7 linked regions of the Callithrix jacchus genome follow. The protein of the gene in region 4 interacts with the protein of the main gene of each other region in a pairwise test. Links are inferred from orthologs where the notes say so. Each region holds a gene or a part of one and is shown on either strand. Other genes may lie near its edges. The genes, in order: HPCAL1, CCDC136, RPP30, HMG20A, DTNB, BRAP and SCNM1.

The links.
Region 1: the proteins of HMG20A (region 4) and HPCAL1 interact in binary tests that used the Homo sapiens proteins (3 or more experiments, as listed by UniProt). The two-hybrid records come from large-scale screens. The link is inferred for Callithrix jacchus from reciprocal best matches to the Homo sapiens genes HMG20A and HPCAL1.
Region 2: the proteins of HMG20A (region 4) and CCDC136 interact in binary tests that used the Homo sapiens proteins (3 or more experiments, as listed by UniProt). The two-hybrid records come from large-scale screens. The link is inferred for Callithrix jacchus from reciprocal best matches to the Homo sapiens genes HMG20A and CCDC136.
Region 3: the proteins of HMG20A (region 4) and RPP30 interact in binary tests that used the Homo sapiens proteins (3 or more experiments, as listed by UniProt). The two-hybrid records come from large-scale screens. The link is inferred for Callithrix jacchus from reciprocal best matches to the Homo sapiens genes HMG20A and RPP30.
Region 5: the proteins of HMG20A (region 4) and DTNB interact in binary tests that used the Homo sapiens proteins (3 or more experiments, as listed by UniProt). The two-hybrid records come from large-scale screens. The link is inferred for Callithrix jacchus from reciprocal best matches to the Homo sapiens genes HMG20A and DTNB.
Region 6: the proteins of HMG20A (region 4) and BRAP interact in a two-hybrid assay, tested with the Homo sapiens proteins (2 studies listed by BioGRID and IntAct). The link is inferred for Callithrix jacchus from reciprocal best matches to the Homo sapiens genes HMG20A and BRAP.
Region 7: the proteins of HMG20A (region 4) and SCNM1 interact in binary tests that used the Homo sapiens proteins (3 or more experiments, as listed by UniProt). The two-hybrid records come from large-scale screens. The link is inferred for Callithrix jacchus from reciprocal best matches to the Homo sapiens genes HMG20A and SCNM1.

Annotation. Positions count from the first base shown.
Region 1 is NC_133515.1:104,572,373-104,576,473, forward strand, and holds part of HPCAL1 (hippocalcin-like protein 1), read right to left. Parts: intron 2,768-4,101; coding exon 2,662-2,767; intron 1,147-2,661; coding exon 1,054-1,146; intron 1-1,053. UniProt on the Homo sapiens protein: May be involved in the calcium-dependent regulation of rhodopsin phosphorylation.
Region 2 is NC_133512.1:118,389,885-118,394,452, reverse strand, and holds the start of CCDC136 (coiled-coil domain-containing protein 136), read left to right. Parts: upstream 1-1,413; 5' UTR 1,414-1,454; coding exon 1,455-1,512; exon of another isoform or gene 1,513-1,655; coding exon of another isoform or gene 1,656-1,741; exon of another isoform or gene 1,742-1,864; intron 1,865-2,312; coding exon 2,313-2,420; intron 2,421-2,526; exon of another isoform or gene 2,527-2,672; intron 2,673-4,313; coding exon 4,314-4,562; intron 4,563-4,568. UniProt on the Homo sapiens protein: May play a role in acrosome formation in spermatogenesis and in fertilization.
Region 3 is NC_133513.1:83,643,288-83,647,388, reverse strand, and holds part of RPP30 (ribonuclease P protein subunit p30), read right to left. Parts: intron 2,842-4,101; coding exon 2,786-2,841; intron 2,175-2,785; coding exon 2,118-2,174; intron 1,713-2,117; coding exon 1,638-1,712; intron 1-1,637. UniProt on the Homo sapiens protein: Component of ribonuclease P, a ribonucleoprotein complex that generates mature tRNA molecules by cleaving their 5'-ends. Also a component of the MRP ribonuclease complex, which cleaves pre-rRNA sequences.
Region 4 is NC_133509.1:23,525,713-23,529,813, forward strand, and holds part of HMG20A (high mobility group protein 20A), read right to left. Parts: exon of another isoform or gene 3,334-4,101; intron 3,108-3,333; exon of another isoform or gene 2,991-3,107; intron 2,730-2,990; exon of another isoform or gene 2,383-2,729; coding exon 2,235-2,382; exon of another isoform or gene 2,194-2,234; intron 1-2,193. UniProt on the Homo sapiens protein: Plays a role in neuronal differentiation as chromatin-associated protein. Acts as inhibitor of HMG20B. Overcomes the repressive effects of the neuronal silencer REST and induces the activation of neuronal-specific genes.
Region 5 is NC_133515.1:89,636,397-89,640,497, reverse strand, and holds part of DTNB (dystrobrevin beta), read right to left. Parts: intron 1,564-4,101; coding exon 1,458-1,563; intron 1-1,457.
Region 6 is NC_133510.1:114,521,018-114,525,118, forward strand, and holds part of BRAP (BRCA1-associated protein), read right to left. Parts: intron 1,758-4,101; coding exon 1,682-1,757; intron 469-1,681; coding exon 330-468; intron 1-329. UniProt on the Homo sapiens protein: Negatively regulates MAP kinase activation by limiting the formation of Raf/MEK complexes probably by inactivation of the KSR1 scaffold protein.
Region 7 is NC_133519.1:11,058,382-11,063,254, reverse strand, and holds the start of SCNM1 (sodium channel modifier 1), read right to left. Parts: upstream 3,013-4,873; 5' UTR 2,951-3,012; coding exon 2,900-2,950; intron 2,634-2,899; coding exon 2,563-2,633; intron 1,708-2,562; coding exon 1,619-1,707; intron 1,519-1,618; coding exon 1,421-1,518; intron 1,316-1,420; coding exon 1,227-1,315; intron 1-1,226. Other genes in the region: LYSMD1 (lysM and putative peptidoglycan-binding domain-containing protein 1), read left to right, coding at 3,825-4,004. UniProt on the Homo sapiens protein: As a component of the minor spliceosome, involved in the splicing of U12-type introns in pre-mRNAs. Plays a role in the regulation of primary cilia length and Hedgehog signaling.

The sequences.
Region 1 (4,101 bases), on a different chromosome or scaffold from region 4:
CACACTGGGCAGAGTGGCCTCTGGAGGCTCATGGTCCAGGGCGGGTCTCTGTAAGGTGACCGGCTGAGCTAGGTGGGGGAAGTTTTCTGACCATCCACTCCCTGTCCCATCATTGCTGTCAATGTGCCCACACTGTGGTCACCATAGCCCTGGCTCTGCTGGTCTACATGCAGGAGACGCCGTAAGGAGTCTGCCCAGGTGGACATGGCCTCGAGGGCAGGAGGGGGCGCCTCTGGCTCCAGCTGGTAGGGAAGCACAAGGTTCGAGGTTGGCTCCGCCCTGGCAGCCTGAGCCCTGGTGCGGCCTCTGTGTCTGTTTGAGGCTCTGTGTCAGCTGGAATCGCTAGAGCACCCTGCAAAATGTCTGTGCAGGCAACACAGGCCTAGCACAGGGGAAGGCGCGCAGTGGGGGCTCTAGGCTCTCGGTTCTGGCACATGGCAAGCCACCAATGATTCCAGGCCTCAGGATCTTCGTCTCGAAGGTGGGATAATGAGAATGCCCATCTCGAAGGCGACTGGGGGGATGCAATTGAGGACTGAGCCCAACACCAGGGCGGAGGATGTCCCTGCCCAGTAGGACCCTGCTGGGAATCCAGCCCCTTTGGCCCATTGGCAGTCAGGTACACATGTCCTTATGGGACTCTGGCCTGGGCTCCAGCAGGCTGGCTTCTTCCAGGGCACAAACTCGATGCCTCTGGGGCCTGGGCAGCCTACTAACCCCAAAGGACCCCACACGATGCCTGGGCCAAGGGATGGGCAGGGAAAGGGAGGGACAGCCAGGTTCCCAGCAAGCAGTCCCAGGACCCTCTGCCAATGGAGGCTGCCGGCCTTAAGGTTGATGAGGACATTTGTGGGCCACTCCCCACCCTCCACCTCCGACCGCACAGGGCAGCCAGCTGTGGGCCTCAGAGTCCACAGCCCCAAAAGCCCTGGGCCAAGCCCCAGCCGCCCCACTTCCTGTCCCTGACCCCAGCCCCCTAGTTCCAGGCTGAGAGAGAGCAGGTCTGCCCAGATGGACCACGGGTCGGGAGAGCCAGAGCTGCCCCAGGCTGACCTGGAGGGCTGCTGAGATGCCAGGGAGCTGCTGAAGATTCCAGGGGCTCCTCCTGACGGAGGGCAGGCAGGCGAGGGGACTGCTCAGCACAGCCTGAGGAGAGGGTGGTGTTAATGATACCTGTGCCCTGGGGAAACCTGTCAGCCCAGCCCAGAGGCCCGGAGCAGCCGTGCACCTGCTGGGGTGGCCAGGGAAGCTGGGGGACCCTCCAGGGCACCGTCACTCCCGAGCAGTCCCTGGAGGAGCCTTGAGGGCTGAGGACCACAACCTGAACTCTGGCCCCTGGCTTCGGCCCACCTTCCTGGTATCACTCTTCCCTCCTTAACCCAAACTCCAAGGACAGACAGGTCCCCTAGGCTCAGAGGAGGAAGTGCTCCATCCCAGCGGGCACATTAGCAACGTCACATGCCATCCCAATTCCCAAACAACTTCGAATATGCCCTCTGAAGAGGTGGGCAGGGCCAAGCTGGGAGGCAGGTTCTGGCAGGACCATGGGTGGCTTCCCCAGGGACGCTGAAGTCAGGAAACACAGCCGCTGTTTGTGGAGCGCAAACCCTGCTGAGAGCTTTATGGCATCGTCTCGCTGAAACCTCACAACCCGGTAGGACTGGATTCGCCCTCCCCACGAGGATCGAACAGCTTCGGGAGAGCAGCAGCAGGTGCCCTGCTAGGCTGGAGGGTGGAAAACACTTCCCATCAGCCCGAAGGCCACGCCAGACAGCAGGCAGGCTTGCTTTCTGCGTGCATGTGTTTTGAACATGGTGACCTGGCTGCCTGGAACGATCTTTGCTGCCTACAGCTCCCCCACAGCCCGTCCCCCGCTGGGGCCGTGCTAACCTCACCGAGGGCTGCACTCCACACTTTCCAGAGCAGCTTCCTGGGCATTAGCTTATCTTAAATTCTCCAGCACAACCCAGGGAGTATTTTCTCTTCTTAAGGTTGCATTTCTTCATTGTTCAAAAGCAAAGCAAGCCTGGTGCTATGGCTGCCCTTGACAAAGCCAGCAAGAAGAGCAGAACTGGAAGCTGCCACAGCCGCCCCAGATCTCACAGCCAGTGCAGAGGAGGGCACTCGAGGCACAGCCTCGTCACCACTGCTGCCACCACCATTGTGAGACTTGCATTTCTGCAGTGGGGCTGAGTCCCCACAGAGCTGCCGTAGGCGGACAAGGTGGCAGTGTACATCCTGACAGTTCCCCTTGGACACTGAGGCCATCTGGGCAGCCTCCTCTCTCAGGATGGCAGCCAGAGAGGCATGGCCAGCACCCCAGGACCCCACCATCTGGGATCCTCTGATCCCAAGCCCTCCAGATTCAGGGCTGCCAGCACGCCTGCCTCCCTGCCCCTAAACATACCCACAGGAATATAGGTATGTCCTGTTCTACGAGTAGGGAGATGGTGGCTCAGAGGGGCCACAACATGCCCAGCATCACAAAGCCGCACAGAGGGGCTGGGGCACAGCATGGGTATCCCCAACTGTATCCCGCCTTTCCCTGGGCATGACAAGCACCAGGCAGGTGGGCCAGGAGACCAAGAAGCTGCAGAGGGGAGGGGGCGACCCAAACATGTTTCTTGGACACACGCAGCCCTGCCCCCACACCAGCCCTACCATCGTTGTTGGTGTCCATCTGCCTGAAGATCTTGTCCGTGCGCTTCTCCGGGGTGGACTCGTCCTCCGGCATCTTCATCACCGAGGACACCATCTTGTAGATGGCCTGCGGACGGGGGCAAGGACAGTGTGCTCAGAGGCCCGGAAGCTCGGGCAGGTGCAGCAAGGGTAGGCTTCTGCCCAGCCCATGACAAGGCTTGGAGAGGTCGTGGGCTCCTGGTGGCCTTCAGGACCCTTCCCCAGTGGGGAGAATGTTCCCCAGTGAACTTCACTGGCGTCTAAGTGAAGTTCAAGAGCAGAGCTGGCAGGATGGCTCTACTGGGAGGTGGTGAGGGTGGTGGTATTTCTGCCTGGGGGGGTAGTGCCAGGAAGGTGCCTGAGTGCCCCTCTTGGGGGCTGGGAATGCTGAGAGAGGGTGGTGGTCACGTGGGCAGAGTTGCGTGAAATTCGACATGCTGCCCGCCATGTGCATTTTACTGTGTGGCTGTTACCCCGCAGTTTAAAAGAGACTGCCCCTGAAACTCACAGGGAGAGCCCCATCACCAGCCCCTGACAGGACCGGAACCCGTGGCCCTGGGTCTCCACACCCTCTTTGGGACACTGTCAGCCGAGGGCTCAGCCTAGCTGCTGGTCTCTCTGTGCATCTCTGCCTGAGTGGCCCAGCCTAGGGCACATGCCCCTGCGCTGCTGGTCAGTGTACAGGGGAGATGGTGATGGGGCTGGTGAGTGGCCGCTGAGCAGTGACATGCATGGGGAGGGGCGGCACTGCTGTGGAATTTTCTGAGCACTCCGTGTAGAAGTGTCATTTCCAAGACAACAGACCATTTTCTCATTTTGAGAAGAGGTAGCACCAAGTGTCCCCTGAGAAACACCAGGCAGCCAGCCAGGGAGCCATCCATGGCACTGGGGGAAGGCTTTCAGGGTTTGAAGACTTGGTTTGGGAGTTGAAAAGCGAGATTCTGTTCAGACAGAAGTGGCTGCTCCTTGCTGCTCCGAACAGTTCTGCCAGAGCCTCCAGGTTCTGGCCACGCCTCTGCTCAGCCAGGGGCAGGCATGCTGATCTCCAGAGGGTGAGGGTTAGCACAGGGCAGGGTGGGCGGTTCCCGGGAAACAGATTTCTTACTTCCGCCACTGTGTGAAGCTAAGAGCCAGAAAGTGGTGACTGAAGCAGAGTTCCCCGAACCCGTGTTAATTTCCTCTTGCAGTGTGAAAACCATCTGTGTGGGAAACGGGCCCCTCGCTCCGAGGCGGGCTGCGGCTGGAGCAGGAGTTCTTGGATCTGATACCCGCTGCTGGAGGCCTACCCCTGAGGTTCCCTACCATGGGACCACTGCTTCTGAAGAGTTCCATTTCTTTCTTGTTTTGTTTTTGGTTATTTTGGAGGCAGGGTCTCACTCTGTCACTCAGGCTGGAGTGTAGCTGTGCAATCCTAGCTCACCC
Region 2 (4,568 bases), on a different chromosome or scaffold from region 4:
TGCTAATACAACAGCTTGCAGTAAGGAAGCCAGCCAAAGCCCACTAGAACCAATATGGCGATGAGAGTGACCTCTGGTCGTCCTCACTGCCATACTCCTACGCGCGCCACGACAGTTTACAAATGTCATGGCAACATCAGAAAGTTACCCTACATTGTCTAAAAGGGGGAGTCATGGACAATCCACTCCTTGTTTAGCATATCATCAAGACATAGCCATAAAAATGGGCAACCCACCATTCTTTATTATTTTACTTTCCTAATAAACTTGCTTTCACTTTATTCTATGGACTCGCCCTGAATTCTCGATTGCTCGAGATCCAGGAACCCTCTCTCTCTGTCGGGATCCGGACCCCTTTCTGGCAGCTGGGGGAACGCAGACAATCCTAGCCCTCGACCTGGGAATGGATGTGCAAGAGAGGGGATCCGCGTGTGTCCCCGGCTTAGGAATCTCCCAGACGTTTCCTGGATGTTCTGGGAAGCCCCTGTTCCCAACTGTACCCACTTTGATCCTTGCTGAGACCTGCCGGGGTGTGAGAACTGCCTCTTAGAGAGCCGGCACCCACCCAGCAGGCATTCCTTGAATAAAGCAATGGTTAAGACGCGAAATAAGCCGCCTGGGCTTCCAAATCTCACTTCCAGAGAATGACCATCAGTCGTGCCCACTTCGAGTGGGCGACAGTGGGGGCGTGGCTCGCAGCCCACCAGGTGTGGGACCGGAAGGGAAGGCAGAACGGAGGAGGGGGGGGTCTTCGGGCCCTGAGGCTTGGTGGGGCCATCGGAGGGCCCCTCCTAAGAGGGTCTCTGGCCCTGGCTGGGGGGAGGAGGGTGCGCGGAAAGCGGAGAGGTCAGGGCCCTGCGTTAGCCCATCTCTCCGGCCCCCAAGCTGCCAAGGGGCCCCCGGGCGGGGCTGGGAGGGACCTGAGGCCGGAGTCCGCGCCGGCTGCCAGGTGGGGGCGCCGGCCGGGTGGGGGAGGAAGGGGCGCACGTGTCCGCGCGTTTGGAGGAAACAGTCCCACCTTGCCCTTTGCCGTCCCCATTGCTGAGCATGACCGGGCCCTGACACCTGGTGCGGAAGGTCCCCGCGTACAGCAGACCCCGCGGGACCCGCCGCCAGAACCAGGAGATCTCACCCCTCCCTCTTGGGACAGCCTGAAGCCTGAGAGCTCCCGACGCTGTCCCGGCCCGGCGGCCCCCGGCGCTCCCTCGGGGAGAGCCTTGGGAGGTATCTGGGGTCGCGCTCACCCTCCCGCGCCGCCCCAGCACCCACTCGGAGCTCCTGGGTGCTGGGAGGGCTTCCGGGCGGCGGCGGGCAGCGGGGGGCGGTGTCAGGAGGCCCGGCCAGGCCCCGCCCCCTCGCCCGCCCTCCCTCCTCCCTGCGCACCCGGCTCCCGGTCCCCGGGCTCGCGGCTGCGGCTTCTGCTCTGGGAAGCTGCCGCGGCGGCGGGAGCGGTCATGGAGGCGGGCGCCGGAACCAGCGCGGGAGCCGCGGGCTGGAGCTGCCAGGGCCCAGGTCAGAGCCGCCCGTCCCTCACCTCTCCACCGCCCCTCCTTTCTTTCCTCCATCCCTCCTCCCTCCAGACCCCCAGGTGCTCCCGGACTCCGCGGCTCCCTCTTCTCCGCCCGAAGCCTTCCTCCCTCCATCCTGGCCTCCACCTGGGCCCGGTCTCCATCTTTCCGGCCTGGGGCTGGGGCTTCTGCGCACCGGCCGCATCCTGCCTGTAGGTCCCTCCCCAGCTCATCTCTCCACTCAAGCCCGACGGTGCTTCCAGTACTCGGGGCTCCAGACCCCGCACCCCCTGCAGCCCCGGAGGCTCCAGAGCGCTGGGCGAGGGTGGGGTGGGCGAGGTCCAGTAAGAGAATACGAGGGGAGGGGAGGGGAGGGGAGCGGCCGCAGCCCTATCCCTTCACGCACGCCCCCCACTCCTCCCTCCCTCCCTCCCTCTCTCCCTCTCTCCCTCTCTTTGTAGGCCGCCTCACCCTTTCAGCCTCTTTTCACTGGCTCCCGCCCTCTTTCAGTCTTTCCTCTCTCCTCCCTGTCCCCCGGGGCTAAATACACACACCCCCTCTTTCTGTCTGTGCAAGCAAGGGGGGCCTGGAACCAGGAGTGTCTGAGGCGGTTGGGCGGCAGGGCTGGGGTCCCCGCAGGCAGAGCGTGAGACGTAGCCGAGAGAGGGGAGACGTAGAGCCGGCAGAGTGAGTCAGGCACCTCCACTGGGATTCCAGATCCCAGGGCTCCGAGGGGCTGGAAGCCATGCCTCCCTCTTTCCTCTGCACCCCAGCCCTCAGCACCTCCTTTCGCCCTGCTCTCAGGACCCACAGTGACCACTCTAGGCTCCTATGAGGCTTCGGAGGGCTGTGAGAGGAAGAAGGGCCAACGCTGGGGGTCCCTGGAACGACGGGGGATGCAAGCTATGGAGGGTGAGTTTTCCCAAAAGGCTTCTTTCTTCCCCTTCCCCTCCTCCGTTAATCCCCTTCCCTCTCTTCCCTTTGACCCTCAGGCCTCTGAGCCAGGACACAGCCCTACCTTCAGTTCGTCTTAGCCCCTCCTCCTGCAACTCAGAGCTCCAGCCCTTCCCAGGGTTCAGACTTCGACAGAAGTTCAGAGTGCACCCCTTTGGGACCCCAATCACTCAGCTAACCAGGTTGTGTGTCCCGAGGGAGCTGCCAGACAGAGAGAGGCCTTGTTGGACAGAGCTTTGAAGCAGCTTTTCAGCAGGGGGTTTGTTCTCACTGCCTGCCGACCCAGATCCCAAGCTGTCTCTTCTTTCAAAAAGCAAGGAAGTGGGCATGTGAATTGTCTTTCTGGGGCCACCACCATTAACTTCGAATGGAAGCCTGTGGCTTTGGTTCTCTCGGATACCTTACTGCCTGAAAGAGAAAGCCTAGGAGGGGGCGAGTGAGGCCATCCTCCCAATACACGTGTGTCCCCACCACACCCATGTGACTTGGCAGTTGCTGCCAACACCAGGCCCCTGGAAGGACGCTGGTCCATTTTCCAGGACTTCCTGTGAAGTGTGGCACGTTGCACATTCAGTATAGGGAAACCTGCTCCCCCTAAGGGGGGCAGATGGCACGAGGGGTCCCACATGAACCTAAGGCTGCTGATATTAGAGAAAGTAAGACCAGAGATTCAGAATTTTAAAACAAAGCAAACAATCACCATTCAGACAACATTTTGCTATTTATAGGAACTGCATTGCAGTAAAGGAGGGGGTGCTCGCAACCAGAGGCTGGGGGCCAGCACCAAACCCCAGTTCTTTAATGCATTAGAATGGCAGCGTTTCTTTTATGCACAGGTACAGGCTAAGACTTCCCCTGAAAACTGCTTTGTGGTCAGCAGAGCAGGAGGGGCCTCCTCAGCTAGGGGAGAGGAGACCTGTGACAGCCAACAGGGAAAAACGAGGTGGACCTTCTAGAAAATTTGAAACAGGTATTTGATGATTTCAAAGGGCTCCAGAGTTTGTCCGATGAAACCTCTACAATCAGATATTTCCTTTCCCTACCTGCCGATGGGCAATGCTTTCTTATCATGGAAAGGCTGATTTTTCACAAGCCACCTGGATATTTTTTGGTTGGGTTTTTTTTGTTTGTTTGTTTTTTGAGACACAGTCTCACTCTGTTGCCCAGGCTGGAGTGCAGTGGCTTGATCTTGCCTCACTGCAACCTCCACCTCCACTTTCCAGGTTCAAGCAATTCTCCTGCCTCAGCCTCCCAAGTAACTGGCATTACAGGCACCCACCACCACGCCCAGCTAATTTTTTTTAGTAGAGACGTTTCACCATGTTGGCTAGGCTGGTTTGGAACTTCTGACCTCAAGTGATCCACCTGCCTCAGCCTCCCAAAGTGCTAGGATTACAGGCATGAGCCACAGCGCCCAGCCAGTTTTTTTGTTTTGTTTTGTTTTCTAGAAATCTCCAAACTGCAACTGTTACCTCATTTGACCTAAAGATCCGCTCACTGTCTCCTTTCTTGATTACTTGTTCCACTGCTCAGAGGGTAGCCTAGAAGCAGATAATCCTGTGCAAGTGTCTCATGGCTGAGCAGGCACCAGCCTGCCCACAGGCAGTGGTAGGAGGCTATCAAGTGAACATTGGTCCAGGAAAGGCCTGGGAGGTGGAGGGGCTGCCTCTCAACTTGACCCTCACACCTGATGACTCATCTTGAATACAGGTCTTGACTAGGGGCTCCTTGGGGAACACAAGGTGGCACCATATACCATCTCTGCCCTGGAATAGTGAGTTAGAGGGCTCTGGAGGGACTGTGGAAAGGAAGTTGGTGCCGACTCCCTCCTGGGATGGTTGTTTCTTCTAGGGGAGGTGTTACTCCCAGCTCTCTATGAGGAGGAAGAGGAAGAGGAGGAAGAAGAGGTGGAAGAAGAAGAAGAACAAGTGCAGAAAGGTGGCAGTGTTGGCTCCCTGTCAGTCAACAAGCACCGGGGCCTGAGCCTCACAGAGACAGAGCTGGAGGAGCTGCGGGCTCAGGTGCTGCAGCTGGTGGCAGAGCTGGAGGAGACCCGGGAACTGGCAGGGCAGCATGAGGATGACTCCCTGGAGCTACAGGGTGAGT
Region 3 (4,101 bases), on a different chromosome or scaffold from region 4:
CTTCCATTCTCCTATGGAGTCAAATTTCTTAAGCAAAGTCAGCAGCACAGTCTGCATTTTCTCGCATCCCTATCATATCCATGGAAATCATTTTTGCTAAGGCAGCCAATGACTGTCCCATCAATAAATCTGATAGACTTTTTTTTTTTGGCCTTTCTGCTCGACTACACAGGTGTACTAACTCTGCTGACCTTTCATTCCTCCTTTTCTGTTTTCCCTTTACTTGCTGTCCTTCTACTTCTAGGGTAGTCCCTCCTCAGTCTCCAATTCTAGCTCATCCTCTTTCCCACCACTACATAGTTAAGTTTCTTAGCACTCTGTACTAAACCTCTTCTTTCCACAAGGCACTTTGGCCAGGGAGTCTCATCCATTCCCATGATTTCAATTATTCACTGCAGGTGACCACTTCCAAAGAAACATCTTTAATTGGGATCACTCTTCTGAAGGCCACATCTGTTTGTTTGTTTGTTTGAAATGAAGTCTGGCTCTGTTGCCCAGGCTGGAGTGCAGTGGTGTGATCTCACTGCAACCTCTGCCTCTCCAGCTCAAGCGATTCTCCTGCCTCAGACTCCCGAGTTAGCTGAGATTACAGGTGCCCACCACCACCACACCCTGCTAATTTTTGAATTTTTAGTAGAGATGTGGTATTACCACATTCATCAGGCCAGTCTTGAACTCCTAACCTCAAGTGACTACTTGTCTAGGCCTCCCAAAATGTTGGGTTTACGGGCATGAGCCACCATGCGCATCTTTTTTAACGGCCTATTTTGAAACTCTCATGGTAACTCATCATGATTCCCCCAAACCTGCTTGTTTGTATGGCCCATCTCAGGAAATGATACCATTATCTACCTACCTGGCTGCTCAGGCCACCTAAGGAGTAATCATCATCCAATTAACCAACAAATCCCATCAGTTCTCCCTCCTAGAGCCTCCTAAGTCTTCTCCTTAACTCCTTCTAATCCATACTCTGTAATTCACACCTCATAATTTTACTCCCTTTGTTAAAACATTCAGGGGCTTCCAACTGCTATTGGAATCCTCACCCAGGCTTATGTCCCTAACCTCATCCCATTGTAACTGGCTCGCTAAACTTAGCCCTATTGGTTTTGTTTCATTCCCAGAAAATACCTTGGCTTCAATATGCATAATCCATTCTATCTGGCAACACTTGCTCCCTGCTTGTCACCTATATAATATTTACTGATTCTTCCGTCTCCCAGGTTCAGTATCAACTTACTCAGGTTACATACTCCCAGAGCACCATTTGTAATTATTATTTGTTCCGTGCTTATCTTGCCATTTAAACTTTAAGCTTTATAAGTTCAAGGATTGAGCTCATATTATTCACGGCAATAACCCCTAGCACCTACCTTAAGTCTGGGGCATGTGAGCTTAATGAATAACAGTTGCCAAGGGATTCTTTAATTGTGCTATCATTACACATGTGCCATGAGTAAGGCGAATAGACATGTTACACTGTGTGAATTCTGAGGACAAGGAGAGTAGGCAGGTGTCATGCTTTAGGGGGGGTGAGGGAAAATGTAAAAATGGGATAAGAAAAAATGCAACATTGTTCAACATTAATCAGTACAACTTACAAAGCTAAAAGGAGAGAGGAAAAATAATTAACTTACCAAAACATTGCAGTGAGATGGATCCGAGACAATAATTGTTAATCTAGTTAAAATTTTAATTGGTCTTGATTTTCCCTATTTAAAAAAAACATGCTGTCAAAGAAGCACAAAAGATAACTGATTTTCATTTTTACCCATAGAAAGTATTCATTAAAAGGTACTGGCTATAAGGGATAGTGAAGATAAATAAAACCCAGTCCTTGTTCTCTAGAAATTTACAATACAGCCACAGAAAGAGATGTACGTATCTTAAACTACATAATAAGATAATTTAAAAGTCGTAGGACTTCAGGAAAGAAGATCATCAAAGTAGTACTGAGTTAATGGTAAAAGAATGTTTCCTGAAGAGCTGAGCCTTGAGGAAAATGTAAGACTGGTAGGCAGAGTAAGGTACAACTCCAGTTAGAGAATAGCACACATAATTAGGTATCTTTTAACTGAATAATAAATATTATGCTTCTTAAACAGCAAAACACCTACCTGTACAATTGGCAAAGTTGTGAAGAGTTCAGAAACAGCTACTGGTTTTTCAATTTCCTAAAGCAAACAATAAACAGTTGCCACAGATTGTATACATCAATAGCACAGGCATAATGGAAAAATTACAAGGGGAATCTCAGAAAAAAAATGCATTTTTTTAAAAAAGCTAGGTGATTTCTGGTTTTCAAAAAGACTTTTAAAAAATATTTTTAAAGAGAAAGTTAAATAGAGAAGCAACTGCAAACATCAGTGAATAGGAAGAATGAAAACTAATTTTTAGGCTGAAATAATCTATAGGATAGTTGTTGGCCTAAAGAGAAATACATACTTACTAGTAATGTTTAAGAGAAAAACTAGTTAATAAGTCCATGACAATAAAATTAAAAAGACTAAATATCTTTATTACAGTCCAGCCAACAATGCACTTTTTAAACAGTGAAAGTAACTTAATTTCAAATCAACTTTAAGAATCCTGAACACTATTTCATAGTACCTCACAAATATCTTGTTTGTATAAATATGCATCAGCTAATGTTAACATATAAAATAGGAAAGTAATAGTATATTAAGGAGTGCATTTAAGAAATATTCTAATCTGTAGCTCCCAGATTGCCAATATAAACAGATTACAAATATTTATGAACTTAACTTCAGAAATATTATTTTACCTGTTTCTTTTCCTTAAAGTCAACGACATGATTGACAGCAACAACTGAATAGCCAACTGAAAAGAAAAATTGAACACTTTTGTTAAAGATAACAACCTCTCCTTCCTGTAAACACAGGTCCATCCTGACTCCAGATGTCAAGAGCAGGAGGCCATTTGAGCAATGGTTATGCATGTAAACTCTAGCATCAGCCTGCCTGATTTAAAGTCTTGGCAATACCACTTACAAGTTACTTAACATGAAGTTTCAGGTTCTTCAACTGTCAAATGGTAATAATAACAACACTTACTTCCTACACTTGTCATGAGATTTAAATGAAATAATGCACTCAAGGTGTTTGAGAACAGTGTCTGGCACATAGGTCTTTGTTTAACCATTATAAATTATTATTAACATGATATTAAAGACTCTTAACTTTGTGCTTCTTTTCAACTATCATTCTCTTTCATATCCCTGTATTCATTTTCATCGCATCAAGTTCTTACTTTACCACTGTCACTTTTATTCTTGTTCATTTCTTTTGCTTTTTACCCTTCTACTTCTGTGAGACTCCTTTCCTAAGGAGAAATGGAGTGATGACTCCCTCACACCACTGCCCACTTCCCATTTTGAGTGCACACCATCGACAGACTGGGAACTCTTTGAGGTCAAGGCTTGCTTTATTATCCTTGTGGGTAACACTCCCCATGGCACCGAGGAAGGAGAACTGTGCAGACCTCAGGCACAATTAGTGCCTGAAGTATAAGTGCCTCACTGCTTACTATATCTAGCTTACATATATAATCATACTTAGTTCCATATATTCTTTCTATATAATCATATAACAGATGTAGTTGGAGCTGTACTGACACATTTGGTGCTGATTTATATAATCCTTCTATATAACCATAAAGTAGTTTGTAGTAGGAGGAATGCCTAGAGCAGTCACAGAACAGAAGCAGTACATGGGAAAACAGCCAGACCAGGACAAGAAGCAAAGACCCTGCCTGAAAGGGCATACACTGTATGGCAGACTTGGAGCAAGATTCTCTCCTCCTGATAAAGGAGTTGTAGCACCTTACATCCAGTTTCTGTGGAAAGTAGGCCTCAGGCCTGAGATCCCGAAAATAACCGAGGTAGAAGCACCCCTCTGGTGTGACCAGTGACAGCGCCTGTATACCCTGTCATTCTTTTCTCACTTCTGTGCTAGCTTAAACCATCCTCCCATAAATATCTTAAGAGAATAGCACAAGTCTGTCAGCTCCCACTGCATTGGCTCACAGTATCTTTCTATTAGAAACCCTTTGAAGTCTCTAGCCCCCAGGTAAGAAGTGTTG
Region 4 (4,101 bases):
AAAGTAAGATGGTGTCACATGCACCATGCAAAGGAAGAGACAAGTTGTAGCAGAGATTAAAAATAACTCATGATTAAAAATAATTCATGAGTTGCTCATTGATAACTTTCAAAGACTAGTTTGTTTACCATAGCAGATAGCATATGGAATATTAAATTAATATCTAAGTCTCAGAAACATTTCAGTAATATATCCAAATGAAGACTACTAGTCTTTGGCTTGACAATCTGTTCCTTTAGACGTATATTTTATTTTAATTTTTTTTTGAGATAGAGTTTCACTTGTCACCCAGGCTGGAGTGCAATGGCACAATCACTGCAATCTCTGCCTCCCAGGTTCAAGTGATTCTCCTGCCTCAGTCTTCCAAGTAGCTGGGATTACAGGCATGCACCACCACATTCAGCTAATTTTTGTATTTTTAGTAGACATTGGGTTTTGTCATGTTGGTCAGGTTGGTCTCGAACTCCTAACCTTAGGTGATCCACTTGCCTCAGCCTCCCAAAGTGCTGGGATTATAGGCGTGAGCCACTGCGCCTGGCCTAGATGTACATTTTATAGTTAGAGGTCTTTGTATGTTGAGTTACCAATTAAATCAAAAGACTGAATCATCTCTGAAAAAAAACTAAAGAAACAAAAAGGACTGAAGTACACTGATGTCTCACCACAGCATTTTTTCTTGGGCCCTTTCAATAAGATTTAAGGCACATCATATTTTTACTTTCTAATTTTACAAATACATACAGCCCTATCAGTTAATGTTTTATGGATACAAGAATTCTTATTTTAGACAAGAGAAAGATAAAGAAATAAACAGGAACAAAAACATCTAAATACTAATTGTAGTAATCTACTCTTCCAAATACATATAAAACGTATGATAATTCACCATTGGGCAAATGATGCATTTGGTATTAGTTTAAAAACAAAAAAAACAAAAAAAATCCTAGTTACACTGAAGCTACTGTGGACTGGCCAGGGTGGCTCACACCTGTAATCCCAGCACTTTGGAGGGCCAAGGCAGGTGTATCACTTGAGGTCAGGAGTTTGAGACCAGCCTGGCCAACATGGGGAAACCCCACCCCATTAAAAAATATAAAAATTGCCTGGGCATGATGGCATGCACCTATAATCCCAGCTACTTGGGAAGCTGCGGCAAGAGAAAAGCTTGAAGCAGGGAGGTGGAGGTTGCAAGTGAGCTGAAATCATGCCACTGCACTCTAGCCTGGGCAACAGAGTAAGACTCTACCTCAAAAAAAAAAGTTATTTGGATTTTAAGAGATATAAGAAGCTTTAAGCATTCATTATAATCTTTTAAAATGCCAACAGGATAGATGAAAAAATTAGCTGCTTTTTTTTTTGAGATGAAGTCTTGCTTTGTAGCTAGAGTGTAGTGGTGTGATCTCGGCTCACTGCAACCTCCGCCTCCTAGGTTCAATCGATTCTCCTGCCTCAGCCTCCCAAATAGCTGGAATTACAGGTGTGTGCCACTATACCTGGCTAACTTTTGTATTTTTTAGTAGAGATGGGATTTCACCATGTTGGCCAGGCTTGTCTTGAACTCCTGACCTCTGGTGATCTGCCCGCTTTGGCCTCTTAAAGTGTTAGGATTACAGGCAGAAAGCACGTGCCTAGCCAGCATTTTAAAAATAAGAAACAAGACAAAAATCAATAGTGGTATTCTTTTCGGCTAAAAAAAATAAAAATAAAAGAGTGCTTTAAAACATTGACAATGTAATCAGTTACTTGCAAGAAACACTGAAAGTCCAACCAGGACATGACTGCCCTGGCTCATATACCTTTGTGTGGGGTAGGGAAAGGTACCATGGGAGGGTAAAGGACTTGGTAAGTAGTATGAGGACTTTGGGCACAGAGGACTCCATGCAGCAGGACTTGGTAAGCAGAGTGTGGCCTTAAGCAAGGGCATGTACACTTCTCGTTAATTACTTACTAATGGTTAAATAATTCACTCACTCAACAAGTACTTGTTGATCATCTAATATGAGTTGGTATAAATTTCTTAGGGAACAGGGAAAAAAGAGGCTACCTGTCTGTGTCACTAAAATCGTTAATATTGTTTTGTATAAAACAAGAAATAGAAAACAGAAAATTTTACAGGTTATCAGCTTAAGAATGTAGGAAGGTCAGATGATGAGCACCTTGATCAACATACCTTCCTTGTGACTGTTTCTTCAGGAGTTTCAGAAGGCAGAACAGAAAGAGATACTTCAGCTTACCTCATCTTCATGCCTCTGTTCATTGCCTTCTGCTGCATTTGAAGACTCACTCGGAAGCAACTGACCTTGGGAGAGATCCTCCACAAATTCTGGATTGTTGGTGGATGATGTGGCACCACTACTGTATGGAACATCTGGGTGATTTAACCTGAATAGACGAAAGTATCAACAACACAAAAACTCAACCTATTTACCAAGGTTCTAGACAAATTTCCCTGCCAGCAAAAGAACATGCCAGTCCTTGAGTTAATTCTCCCAATAGTCTGTATAAATGAAAAAAATGTCTTCACAGAAGTTACAGAGTGTTTTAAAAAACTGGTTGCAGTGCTTGATTAAACCAGGTCAGTTCCATGAAGACATCTCCTACCAAAAACAACTACAATCTTTTTCCGAAAAGATGATCTCCCCTCAACAGTGCAGTGGTGTGACTTCATGTTTTACTTCTGAACATGCAATAGAATCTGATTTAAATGCTACCTTTCATGTATCTCCAAGGTAAAGGAAAAACACTATTAACGAAAAAAGTGAATAGGAATGGGGGTTGTAGAGGCAGTTTGCCAACTATCACAAAAGAGTTCTTAAAGGGTGTAAGAAAAATCTCTTAATGGTACATTTCATTGGCTATTTCTTCTTAGATTATAGCATTTACTGACAATCAGGTCATCTAAGAACAATGTTATTAAGTTCAGTAGGTTTAGGTATACATGTTAATAAATCAGAGAGATGTACTGATTTCCTGCTCCCACTACGTTCCAGATGAGTTAGCAAACCAGATCTCACCCTTCTGAAGAGTGAATACAAGAAGGTACAGATGATGGTAGGGTCTTAGATGGACTTACCTTATTACATGTGGACAAAGGAATAGAAGAAAAGGTAACATGTGCTAGTATTATTGTTTTTGTTTTTTGATTGGGGGAGGAGTTGGGAAGGCAAGAGTGGTAAAAAGATGGGTAATAGAGTAATATTTAGTCATTATTCTGAAAGAATGCACAAAAGGGTACAAAGATGGAAATAATGGGCAGTGCTAGATACTCTCTAGAAAGGCAGTGAGAAGAAAGAAAAGTCAGGATAGAACTCGGCTAAAGCTATATCGTTACAGGAGTGAGGTAGAAAAACCAAGAGAAGAGACTGAGAAGACATTAAGAGACCTGGAGAGAAGACTATTGCAGAGGCCAAGGAAGGAAGACTTTTGAGAAGGTAGCTAATCAAGTAAAAAGCTGCAGATGTTAAATAAGATAGGCCAAAAAGTATCTGCTATGAAGGTCACTGGCAATTTTAGGAAGTATAGTTTTAGTGGAATTAGGAAAATAAATACTAGATTACAGTGGACTGAGAAATAAATGAAAACAGGAAGCAGACTGCCCTGGGAATGAAAGAAATTATACTTTTCTGACCCTTTCTAGGAAACATAAATAATTTTAGCATGAGATTCCCACATTTTTGAGGTCCTAAAAAAGAGTATGTAAAAGAAGCTATGAAATCAATGCAGATCATTTTCTCTGAAAAGCGGTACCATCGAGATCCAGTGTGATCTCTGCAGTGCTGTTTTCTAAATATTTCAATCATTTTGGATGTGTTAAGCAACTTGTTCTTTCACTGTCATTCTCATTTCAACTGTGCCATCAGTTTTTAAGTTATTAATTCTTGTACATTCTTATTTAGTAAAATAAGAGAACTAGGTTTGGGAAAGAGTAGCAATCCCATGAATCCCTGACTTAAGTGGGCAGGAATGGTCAAAAGCATCACATGCCTTCTTGATGACATGTTGAAGACTAGGAAAAAAAAGGAGATCTTTTGTTACCATGAATAAACTATCCATGTTCCTAGCTAAAGACAACAACTCTTCTATTTGCACCCTTGATCTCAC
Region 5 (4,101 bases), on a different chromosome or scaffold from region 4:
ACTGATGGGAAGAACAGAAAAAAATTAAGATGTTACTAAGAGATAAGTACCATTTTAACTCAAAGCAAAACAAAAATTTATGTCAAATTCCTGGGAGGAATACCAAGAACAGATTCAAGGCAAAAATGGTAAAGGAAAAAAAAAAAAGGAACCTGGATGGGCACAGTGTCTCACATCTGTAATCCCAGCACTTTGGGAGGCCAAAGCAGGTGGATCATCTGAGGTCTGGAGCTAGAGACCAGCCTGGCCAACATGGTGAAACCCATCTCTACTAAAGATACAAAAATTAGCCAGGCATAGTGAGTGGCAGGTGCCTGTAATCTCAGCTACTCGGGAGGCTGAGGCAGGAGAATTGCTGGAACCTGTGAGGCAGAGGTTTGCAGTGAGCTGAGATCACACCACTGCACTCCAGCACAAGTAACAACAGCAAGACTACGTCTCAAAAAAAAAAAAAAAAAAAAAAAGGAAACCCACTGTTAAACTATATCTTTAAATTATTCCAAAATAATTATAGTTTTCACAGTTGATATTGCATACGTACAGTTTTCTAGAACTATGAGTTCGATAAAGATGAAACAGGAAGTCATGGCTAAAAATCAGGTGGGCTCAAACAGAAAACAATCATCTGGAATCTTAGGGAGGAAAAGCATATAGTTGAAACTGTATGACCTGATATGACTACATCTTGGTATCTTTTTTTTTTTTTTGAGACAGAGTTTCGCTCTGTCGCCCAGGCTGGAGTGCACTGGCGCAATCCTGACTCATTGCAGCCTCCACCTCCCAGGTTCAAGTGGCTCTCCTGCCTCAGCCTACCGAGTAGCTGGGATAACAGGTGCCCAAAACCACACCTGGCTAATTTTTGTATTTTTAATAGAGATGGGGTTTTATCATGTTGGCCAGGCTGGTCTAGAACTCCTGACCTCAAGTGATCCACCCACCTCAGCCTCCCAAAGTGCTGGGATTACAGGTGTGAGCCATCAAGCCCAGGCTACTTCTTGGTTTCCTTTCTAAATTAATACACATCTCTTTGAGACCAGCCTGGCCAGCACGGCAAAACCTTGTCTCTACTAAAAAGATAAAAATTACCCAGGCATGGTGGCTGGTGCCTGTAATCCCAGCTACTCCGGAGGCTGAGGCAGGAGAATTGCTTGAACCCGGGAGGTGGAGGTTGCACTGAGCCAGGATTGTGCCACTGCACCCCAGTCTGCGCAACAGAGTGAGACTGTCCCGGACAAAAAAAAAAAAAAAAAAAAAAAAAAAAAAGAAGAAATAGTAAGTGTCCTCCCTTTTTTAAAAGAAATATTCTTCTGAAAGCCAAAACCACAAAATCAAATGACAGAGTGATAACAAATTTCAAGTGTAATTTTCAATGATATTAAATAGCAAAAGACATTGCAAATAATCAGTTCCTATACTTTCTATAGCCTGAAGAATTAAACAATAAAAGTTCTGCTTACCATTCTCAACATGGGCAAGTCTGTGCATGAGAGGTAGCCAGACAAGGCACTGGGGAGGAGGGTCAGCCATCATTGTGTCTAAAAACATATTTAGCATTATCTTTCTCTGTGAAGAGAAGAAAAACAAATATACTTTATTTTATTTATTTATTTTTTGAGACAGTTTTGCCCTTGTTGCCCAGGCTGGAATGCAATGGCATGATCTCAGCTCACCACAACCTCTGCCTCCTGGTTCAAGTGATTCTCCTGACTCAGCCTCCCAAGTAGCTGGGATTAAAGGCATGTGCCACCATGCCCAGCTAATTCTGTATTTTTAGCAGAGATGGGGTTTCTCTATGTTGGTCAGGCTGGTCTCTAACTCCCGAACTCTGGTGACCAGCCCACCTTAACCTCCCAGAGTGCTAGGATTACAGGCATGAGCACCACACCTGGCCATATTTTTTAAGAATCTCTGAACTCCAAGATTAAGTTAATTTAAGATTTTCCCATCCAAGCTTTAGTGAATTACATGCTAAATTTCATAGCAAAATAAAATATTTTACATTACTACAGATACCACTACATGCTGTACTTTATACTACTATTAGTATATTCAAATGTATTCCCGCATATGTTATTTTATTTTAGTCAAATGTATAAGATAACCTAGGTTAGATATTACTATCGTCACTTTACAGATGAGAAAATGAATCATTTAAAGGTTTTTTGGTAGCCTGGCCCAAATCAGACACAAAGCCAAGACTGTCCTTCAAGTTACTATTTCTGCTATCCAGTGGGGAAGAGAAGACACCCCACACCTGAGTATAAAGCAACATCAATAAGAGCAGGGACTGTGGCTGCTTGTCTACCACATTTCCAGGTTTCCTAACAGTGCCTGGCACACAAGGAACACTTGATAAGTAACTATTGAAAAAAAATAAATCGAAGGGCAAACACCTAGACATCATTCAGCAGCTTTCTCACTTATAGAAGAGAAAATAGAAGCTTCAAGTAGTTCAAATAGTTTGACAAAATCACAGAGACAGTTACAATAAGGATGAGATTGAAACCTACATATCCCAATACCCATCACAATGCTCCTGTTATACCAGCTCAATGGCTTGACTGCATTTTTCTGTTCTATCTTTCTCTTTTTAACAAATATATGGTAAGCTTCCACTGTATATGAAATACTGAAATAACATATCTCACATAGACACCAAATTAGAAAACAGTTTAGAAAGGTAACATAGAGTTATATGATACAGAGAAAACAAAAATAATAATTTAAATTAATGAATTCTTTTTATTTTCTCCAGCCCACATGACACCTTTGTTCCAAAGGGAAAGGAAAAAGAAGCTAAAAGGCCAGGGTCACACAACCCAGCAAGAGAGCTCCGTGATTATAACCTGGACACAAAGACCTCACTTCAAAGTGTTCCAAAAGAAGAGCCGAGACAACAGGGCACACACTCAGCAGGTGCATGGCCGTCGCTGCCTCCTCTAAGTCCTGGTCCCACCACTCAGCAGCAGGTTGGTGGCTGGGGCAAAGCCAAAAGCACACCCAGAATTTCACCTTGCTCTCTCCCAAGTAACTGTGTTCCCAGCCCCACCTCTTAATGTGAAGAACAGGATAATAAAAAAATATAAGAATTTCCCCATAAAACGTTTAAATCATTTATTTCAGGGGGGAAAAAGGGTAGAAAAAATTGGTTAGAGCTGATCTAAAGACATTGGCAGCTGATTACAAAATAACTCCAATTTTTACCACTAAAAATATATATTTAACACAAACTGGAAGCGAGGAGTGAAGAAACTGGGGTGCTTGGCCTGAAGGACAGAGGCCCCCAGGGCTGTCATGGGACTCATCACAGGACCCTTCCAATGAGAGCTTCTGTCTCACAAGGCTCGAGACTAGACAGACTTTTTCCTCTGCATCTTTCTAGCAACTAAGAGAATCTTGATTCCAGTATATGTAAATTGGAGGTCATTCTTATTAAGAATAATCTTTAAAATAAGAAACTGGTAAATGGGGAATAGTAAAGGGAGATAGAGTAGAAGGCAGAGCAGGAAAGAAGCTGTGCAATACATATCGGGAAAAGATGAAGAAAGCCAAGGGACAGTCTCATCTCCAGACAGCTTGCAGGCCAGCATGAAGTAGTTAAGTAATTTGACAGTTTCTCAATTTAACTTCTAATATGGAACTTCTGGCTGGGGCAGGAGGAGTTGAGAGCTACGCAAAAGGGCTGACAGAATGATGTGGTATGTAGCTGTCATTCAAAGGGCCTCTATACATCTCACTCAGCACTGATGGTGAAGCATGAGAAGTACCTACTCAAATAGGCTAAAGAAAGGTTATCCTAAGTGTTTTCCATCTCAGAATCTAAGAATACTATTGTTTGAGATCTGGATGGAATCTGGGAAGAATCAGTGAATAACATTAAAAACCATAAAGCCACCTAACATTTGAATGAAGGAACAGATATGGAAAATGCCTCTATGAACATGCAGATAACCAAGAAACCAAAATTAAGTTAAAAGTGTCTATTTAAAATTGTTGAGATTGGTCGGGTGTCACGGCTCACACCTGTAATCCCAATACTTTGGGAGGCTGAGGCAGGTGGATCACCTGAGATCAGGAGTTTGAGACCAGCCTGGGCAACAC
Region 6 (4,101 bases), on a different chromosome or scaffold from region 4:
AAGGGTCTCTCTCTGTACACTTTTAACTCTGATAAAATTTTTGTTTTTTCAGATCTAAATTAAATGCCTTACAACATTTCTTTGAAACTGTCAAATCATTTGAATTTTAGAGTGGAGGGAGAGAGCAAGAGTGGAAGTATTAACTCCCTTTATAATGTGTGATTCAAGCCATTCCTAGGAAAATAGTGCCCTCAGGGAAACTGAGAATTTGGGTTTGCAACAGCTGTCAGCAAGATGACATTTCAAGCTGGGAGGAAAAGTGAAGAGATTTCGAAGGCAAAGTTTCCACGGAGAATGAGTCCAAATTAGAAAATGAGAGTGGTGTTCACCTCCAGCATAGTCCCAGACTCGATGGTTGGTAAGCTGCATGGCATATGTGTGCTGCGTTTCCTCAAAGTGCTTATAAGCATGTCGACTTACATACCGTCCACATCCTATGTGGCCACATATTAAACAAATCCAAAGGTTCTGTCGGAAGAGGTAAGATCTTAATTAGTTAAATAAAAATACATGATCCAGCTCAGAGTGGGAAGGGGCTTAACACAGAAGACAGACTTATCGGTCAGGCACAGTGACTCACACCTATAATCTCAGCATTTTGAAAGGCCAAGGCAGGAGGATCGTCTGAGCCTAGGAGTTTAAGACCAGCTTAGGCAATATAGCAAGACCCTAACTCTACCAAAAACAAACAAACAAACAAACAAACAAAACTAGGGCGTGGTGGCATGCATCTGTGGTCCCAGCTGCTTGGGAGGCAGAGACGGGAGGAAGGCTTGAGCCCCTTTTGAGGTTACAGTGAACTATGACCATGCCACTGCACTTCAGCCTGGGTAACAGAATGACACCCTGTCTCAAAAAAACAAAAACAAAAACAACAACAAAAGCAAAAACCAAACAAAAACAAAACAAAAAAACAGAATTGTTTCTACAGGAGTCTGATTAAATGTATGCTTTGTTTTGAGATGGAGTCTTGCTCTGTTGCCCAGGCTGGAGTGTAGTAGTGTGATCTGCCTCCTGGGTTCAAGCAATTATCCTGACTCAGCCTCCTGAGTAGGAGGGATTACAGGTGCACACCACCATGCCTGACTAATTTTTGTATTTTTTAGTAGAGACGGCATTTCACGATGTTGGCCAGACTGGTAACGAACTCCTGACCTCATCATTTACATGCCTCGGCCTCCCAAAGTGCTGGGATTATAAGAGTGAGCCACCATGCCCAACCTAAATGTATGTTTAAAATCCAACAATCAAGGATTCTTTTATGGGTCATTTTCTTGCTGATTTCTAAAGAGCACTATATGAATAGCAAGAAAAAAATTCAAAAATTTTCAGTAAAAGTCTAAACCTTTCAAAAGTGCAAAGGAAAAAGGAATAAATTAAGCTCAGGAGTAACGTAATTTGTGTATTCATATGGCTTGCCTGACCCTAGACAAAAAGAAAAATCAGTCTCGAAAAGAATTTAGGCTGGGCACAGTGTCTCATACCTGCAATCCCAGCACTGTGGGTGGCTGAGGTGGGAGGACTGCTTAAGGCCAGGAGTTTGGGACCAGCCCGGGCAACAGAGTAAGCCCTGTTTCTTAAACAAACAAAAACTAAAAAGAACTTAAGTCATACCAGGTAGAAGAAAACGCACAACAATTAAAGCTGCATTCTTTGTTCTTTTCCATCACCCATTACTTACTTCCTGAACACCACACTCAAAACACTTATTTTCTTCTACTGGCTCGGGCGTTTGACAGTACCGGCAAACAGGACACCTATCCAGGACACCAAAAGATAATGGTGCAGGTTAAATATAAAAGACAGCTGTTACAGAACCCAAAAGTCAAACACTGGACTTTATATCCTCCTCCTCTTATATGCTATTTTTAAGTTTATTGTAACTAAGGACATCACTTAAATGACTAACATTTTTGTACTATTCTCAAACAAAATAAAAATATTCAAAATCTAGATAAAACAGAGAAGAATGGAGAAATTGGGATCTGCCTCATGTCCTTTTCTGCTTTACTGTCTAAAGCTTGGATGATCAAAGGCTAAGTATTTACAGGTGACTAACAGGACTTCATTTCATGTCTGACCATAATGTCTTTTTTTTCTTTTTTATGAGACAGAGTTTTGCTCTTGTTGCCCAGGTGGTACGATCTCAGCAAACCATGATCTCCACCTCCCAGGTTCAAGTGATTCTCCTGCCTCAGCCTCCAAAGTAGCTGGGATTACAGGCATGCGACACCACGCCTGGTTAATTTTGTAGTTTTAGTAGAGACAGAGTTTCTCCATGTTGGTCAGACTGGTCTCGAATTCCCAACCTCTCAGGTGATCCACCTGCTCAGCCTTCCAAAGTACTGGGATCACAGGCGTAAACCACCACGCCCAACCTATAACCCATTTCTACTCCAAACAATCTACCTTATCCCCATTTCCCAAAGATTTCAATCATACAAAAAGTAACCTGTCTTCTCCAGGTTGCTTCCAAGTGTTGGATTTAAAATCTGTAGGAAATTTTACCAAATTAAAAGCAAAGGGTTTCTTGTTTTTTGAGATAGAGTTTTGCTCTGTTGCTCAGGCTAGAGTGCAGTGCTTACTACAGCCTCTGCCAACCAGGTTCAAACAATTCTCCTGCTCAATCTCCCAAATAGCGGACTAAAGGCATGCACCACAATCCCCACCTAATTTTTGTACTTTTAGTGGGCACAAGGTTTCACCATATTGGTCATGCTGGTCTTGAACTCCTGACTTCAAGTGAACTGTCCGCCTCGGCCTCCCAAAATGCTGGGATTACAGGCATGAGCCACTGTGCCTGGCTAAACGCAAAGGTGTTAATGTCCTTATTGAAATGCACATGACATCTCACTGTACCATGAACATGATGTAGAAGATACCAGTGCTCTATTGAGCATTCATGTCTCAATTTACAAAAAGACAATAAAAACAATGTCAAAAAAGTCCATTACTGCTTTCTGTTATACTCCACACAAAATAATGCTAAATACTAATCATGAGTATTTCTGTTATATGGGCAAGTAGGCAGAAAGGGGGTTATAGCTGAGGCTGACTGAACTGGCACCAGGAAGAAACAATTTTCAAGATATAACTAGTAACAGTTTGTTACCCAACTGAGTAAATAAACCAATAAAAGGGAATAAGCAGGAAGAACACTAAGTGTGTGTCACAGATGACCCAGCTCTATCTGTGTAAGGGAAAGTGAAAGGATCCAGTCTGCTTCTTCCTGTAGCATCAAAAGAGAAGAGAGAAGACAAACTTGAACAAAGAACAGAAATGATAGCCAGAAAGCAGCATGCAGTCTTGCTAGAGGTAGAAATTAGCTTTGTCTCATCCCTTTGGTCTGTGTGGTGGCTGTGAAAGTAGCTGAATAAGAAAATAGGCCAAGCGCAGTGGCTCACATCTGTAATCCCGGCACTTTGGGAGGCCGAGGCGGGAGGACAGCTTGAGGCCAAGTCTACCCTGGCCAATGTAGCAGAAGCCCTTCTCAAAAACAAAACAAAACAAACAACAACAACAATCTCTTTCTGAAATGTAAATCTGATCTTGAGAAGAAAAAAATACTACAAAAATAAACTTATAAAAACAACTAGCAATCTATGATATACCACCTTATCTGTCTACTAAAAAACAACAGTTTGCCGGGCGCGGTGGCTTACGCCTATAATCCCAGCACTTTGGGAGGCCGAGGCGGGTGGATCACGAGGTCAAGAGATCAAGACCATCCTGGTCAACAAGGTGAAACCCCGCCTCTACTAAAAATACAAAAATTAGCTGGGTATGGTGGTGCGCGCCAGTAGTCCCAGCTACTCGGGAAGCTGAGGCAGGAGAATTGCTTGAACCCAGGAGGCGGAGGTTGCAGTGAGCCCAGATCGTGCCATTGCACTCTAGTCTGGGTGACAACAGCGAAACTCCGTCTCAAAAAAAAACCAGTTTATCAGCCAGGCACTGAGGCTGTTGCCTGTAATCCCAGCCCTTCAGGAGGCTGAGATGAGTGGACACCTGAGGTCAGCAGTTTGAGACCAGCCTGGACAACACAGTGAAACCCCATCTCTACTAAAAATAGAAAATTAGCCAGGTGTAGTGGTGTGCACCTGT
Region 7 (4,873 bases), on a different chromosome or scaffold from region 4:
AGTGAGCCAAGACTATGCCACTGCACTCCAGAGTGAGACTCCATCTCAAAAAAAAAAACAAAAACACATCCTCCCTCCCTCTCCCCCTTTCTTTCTTTCTTTCTTTCTTTCTTTCTTTCTTTCTTTCTCTCTTCTCTTCTCCTCTCTCTCTCTCTCTCTCTCTCTTTTTTTTCTTTCGAGTGTTACTCTGTCACGCAGGCTGGAGTGCAGTGGCATGATCTCAGCTCACTGCAACCTCCAACTCCTGGGTTCAAGCAATTCTCCTCTCTCACCCTCCCGACAGGTTCAGGCAATTCTCCTGTCTCACCCTCCTGAGTAGTTGGGACTACAGGTGCCCACCACCATGCCTGGCTAATTTTCTGTATTTTTAGTAGAGACAGGGTTTCATCATGTTAGCCAGGATGGTCTCGATCTCCTGACCTTGTGATCTACCCGCCTCAGCCTCCCAAAGTGCTGGGATTACAGGCAAGAGCCACCACACCCAGCCCCCACCATTTTTTTTTTTAAGACGGAGTCTCACTCTGTCACCCAGGCTGGAGTGAAGTGGCATGATCTCGGCTCACTGCAACCTCTGCCTCCCAGGTTCAAGCGATTCTCCTGTCTCAGCCTCCCGAGTAGCTGGGGATTACAGGCACACGTCACACACCCAGCTAATTTTTTATATTTTTGGTAGAGATGGGGTTTCACCATGTTGGCCAGTCTGGTCTTGAACTCCTGACCTCAAGTGATCCACCTGCCTCGGCCTCCCAAAGTGCTGGGATAACAGGCATGAGCCACTGTGCCTGGCCAAAATTCTCCTTTTCTTGAAACACTAAGTAACATCTCCGGAATACCAGTGTTCCTTAGAATACACATTGGAGAACTTTTTTTTTTGAGACGGAGTTTAGCTCTTGTTACCCAGGCTGGAGTGCAATGGCGCGATCTCGGCTCACCGCAACCTCCGCCTCCTGGGTTCAGGCAATTCTCCTGCCTCAGCCTCCTGAGTAGCTGGGATTACAGGCACACGCCACCATGCCCAGCTAACTTTTTGTATTTTTAGTAGAGACCGGGTTTCACCATGTTGACCATGATGGTCTCGATCTCTTGACCTCATGATCCACCCGCCTCGGCCTCCCAAAGTGCTGGGATTACAGGCTTGAGCCACGCGCCTGGCCTCACATTGGAGAACTTTTAGAGCCATCTTTCTCCTTCTGAGCCTTCCGACCTCTGGCTTTCCCCTCCCATACCTGTACTTCCGGCGGCAGCAACTGTTATAGTCGGGGGCTCTGTGCAGAGCACTCTGGGTGATAAGTCGTGTCTGGGTTAGCAGAGGAGCCTGATAAGGAGATGGGAGACAGAGTCAGAGGCTTCAGCCCTCTTCCCTTCCAGCCTGGTGTGTGCAGCAGGGTCTTGACTAGAATACACTCTCCATTCTGATTACCTCAGCTTTGGTTTCTTCCCTTCTCAATTCATTCTGATGTCTTGGATTCTGCTTCCTCTCCTTTCCTGGCTGCTTCTTGCCATAGAAAAGCTGCAAGCCTGAGGAGAAAGGGAAACAAGACTAAAAGCATAGCACCAAGAGCGGTGTGCAGAAATTTCGAGGGTTTATTCCCCATACCCTGTCTTTCCCCAAACTTACTGGATAGATGTTTCTTGCCTGCTCGGTGGGCAGTCAGCATAGCCAGGGTGTCCAGTACTGGTCGATGGGGGCAGATGGCACAAGCAAAACTGAGCAGGGGGAGAGAAGAGGATAATTGGTCCAGGGGAAGAGGGTGGGGCCAGTCCCTACAGTAAGTCCCACCCTGTCCTAGCAGTCCTTTCCAAAGCCCAACTCCAGGTCATCCAATCCCCACTTCTTCCGATCCTCACTTCCGGCCAAGGAATCCTAGATACTCCTGCTGTCCTGATTAATAACAAAAGTTTGGGGCCGGGCGCCGTGGCTCATGCTTATAATCCCAGCCCTTTGGGAGGCCGAGGCGGGTGGATCACGAGGTCAAGAGTTCGAGACCATCCTGGTCAACATGGTGAAACCCCGTCTCTACTAAAAATACAAAAAAATTAGCTGGGCATGGTGGCACGTGCCTGTAATCCCAGCTACTCAGGAGGCTGAGGCAGGAGAATTGGCTGAACCCAGGAGGCGGAGGTTGCGGTGAGCCGAGATTGCGCCATTGCACTCCAGCCTGGGTAACAAGAGCGAAACTCCGTCTCAAAAGAAAAAAAAAATTAGCTGGGCATGATGGTGCGTGCCTGTAGTCCCAGCTACTCGGGAGGCTGAGGCAGGAGAATTGCTTGAACCCAGAAGGCGGAGGTTGCGGTGAGCCGAGTTCGTGCCATTGCACTCCAGTCTGGGTAACAACAGCGAAACTCCGTCTCAATCAATCAATCAATCAATCAATAAAGTTTGTTGAAGCCGGGCATGGTCGCGCCCGCCTGTAATCCCAGCTACTCGCGACGCTGAGGAAGCAAGATCACTTGAGCCCTAGAGTTTGAGGACAGCCTGGGCAACACAGAGAGACCTCTATCTTTTGTTTGTTGAGCCTCTAACCATAGAACCCTCAGGCTTGGGCCACTCCTCGCTCTTACCGTCCATCCCGAAGCATCAGCGCCTCATCCTCTGGGATGTAACTGGCTAGCAGATCCCCGACTCTTCTTTTCTGCAGGGAGAAGGGGAAAAAATCCGGACGGCATCAGCAGATAGGAGAAACGGATGGAAGTGAAATGAGAGAAATGAGGAGTCAAATGGAATAAGGACCCTGGGGAGAATAGTGATCATAGACCGAAAAAGGTGTCACTACCCAGCTCTAAGTCGCCTCTTTCTCTCCCGCACCCCCGAGCTGTTGCCAGTGCAACAAAACAAAGCTCCTTCCCAACCTTCAGAGAGCGACTGAAGCTGCCCTGGATCCTCTCTGCTCACGCTTACTTTGAGAACATTGAGTTGACTCCAATCGTCTCCTTCCCTCTTGAAAGACATCACGACTGTGAGTCCCAGAAATGATAAATTCTCTTGTTCCGGTTTCTCAACTCCTCCAGGCCACCGTAGCAAGAGTGGGACAACTCTTTCTCTGTTTTCAGTCTCTTCCTGTCGGCCTCCGTACTTCCGGGGATGCGCTTCCACACAGGCTTTGCGCGTCCGGAAATCTACTCGCTGGTGCACGGAGGGAACTGCATTTCCTATGGTGCCCTGCGACACTGCAGACGCCGAGCCTTTTGGGAAATGAAGTCTTTTCTCAAAGAGCTTGCCGCTCTGCTGGATCCAGGCCCTCGCATCCTGGCGGATCTGCGGCATTTGGAGGGACAAGAAGCTAGATGTGGAGCCGAAATGTGAGGGTGTGACCTCTCTGATGAGTGGAAGGTGTACTACAGACTCTCGCAATCTTCGCGCTCTTCATCTGCGGCGACAGTTCACCTGGGGTGGGCTGATTTGTTTCTGACCCTAGCGGACGAACCCCGGGACCGGGCAGACCCGGGATGCGAGAGCCCCCAGAGGCCAGGCTACCGGACTTGGGGGCAAACTGAGGAAAGACTGTTGAGGATTATTTCTAGAGGTCAAAGGTCAGAGGTCAATGTAGCGAGGAGTTGTGGGGGGTTCACAGTCGGTGGGGTGCTTAGGGGAGAGATTCAGGGAGGGACTGAATACTCAAGGGACAGATTTGTGGATAACAAGCTTGGAGAGAGGAGAAACCGGGAGGGGGCAGGTGGCGTAGTGCCGGGGAGGCGGGGACACAGGGGAAGAGAGAAGGGGAAAGGAATCCCTTGAATATCCATTCCCAGACTTAAGGCCTGTCACCCTTAGTCTCGGCCGGGCCTTCCCCAGTTGCAACCCTACCTGTCGTTAGGGTGAAGAGATGGCTTCCCCGTCTAGACAGCCCCCCCCAGGGGGGTCAGGACTTCTTCAAGGGAGCCGGGCTCGTTCATATGGAAGCCTCGTGCAATCGGCCTGCTCCCCAGTGAGGGAGAGACGCCTGGAGCATCACTTGGAGCCTGGAGACACCCTGGCTGGACTAGCACTCAAATATGGGGTGACGGTGAGTTTTCCAGGATTGGGGTGCAGACAACAGTCAGGAGGGATTTAGTCCTGAGAAGAATGTAGTGGCCTTTCTAGGTAAACTCCTCTGAAAAGTTCCTAAAGTGTTACACCTGTTCTGCCTTTATCTTTGTTTTCCCATCACAGTGTTGCACTGCCGGGTTGGGACAAGTCCTGTCCTACTATTCCAATGGAGAGGAACAGCTCCAATTTTACTATGCCAGACACTGTGCTGGGGGCTTCACATACATTAGCTCATGTCACCCTCACACCCTATCAAGTACATTTATTGTTTCCTTTTGGCAGATGAAGAAACTGAGACTTGGATTGGTTAACCAGTTTGACTAAGGTCAAATAATGAGTGTCAGATTTGGGATTCAAACAGGTCTATCTGACGCTATTAACCACACAGAAACATTTTCTTTTCATTTCTTTTTTTTTTTTGAGGCGGAGTTTCGCTCTGTTGTCCAGGCTGGAGTGCAATGGCGGATCTTGGCTCACTGCAATCTCTGCCTCCCAGGTTCAATAATTCTCAGCCTCAGCCTCCCGAGAAGCTGGGATTACATTACAGGTGCCTGCTGCCACACCTGGCTAATTTTTGTATTTTTAGTAGAGTCACGGTTTCACCATGTTGGCCAGGCTGGTCTTGAACTCCTGACTTCATGATCCACCCGCCTCAGCCTCCCAAAGTGCTGGGATTACAGGCCACACAGAAAATTTTACACTGAGAGTGATTAAACATTCATAGCAAATAATGGAGAGCTGATTTTTAGTTCTCAGTTCCTGAAGTGCCTACCTCTCCTTGCTCTTGGTTCCTCCTCTGCCTCCTTTCCAGTAAGGCTGCTTCCTTGGTGCAAAACAGGTACTCTC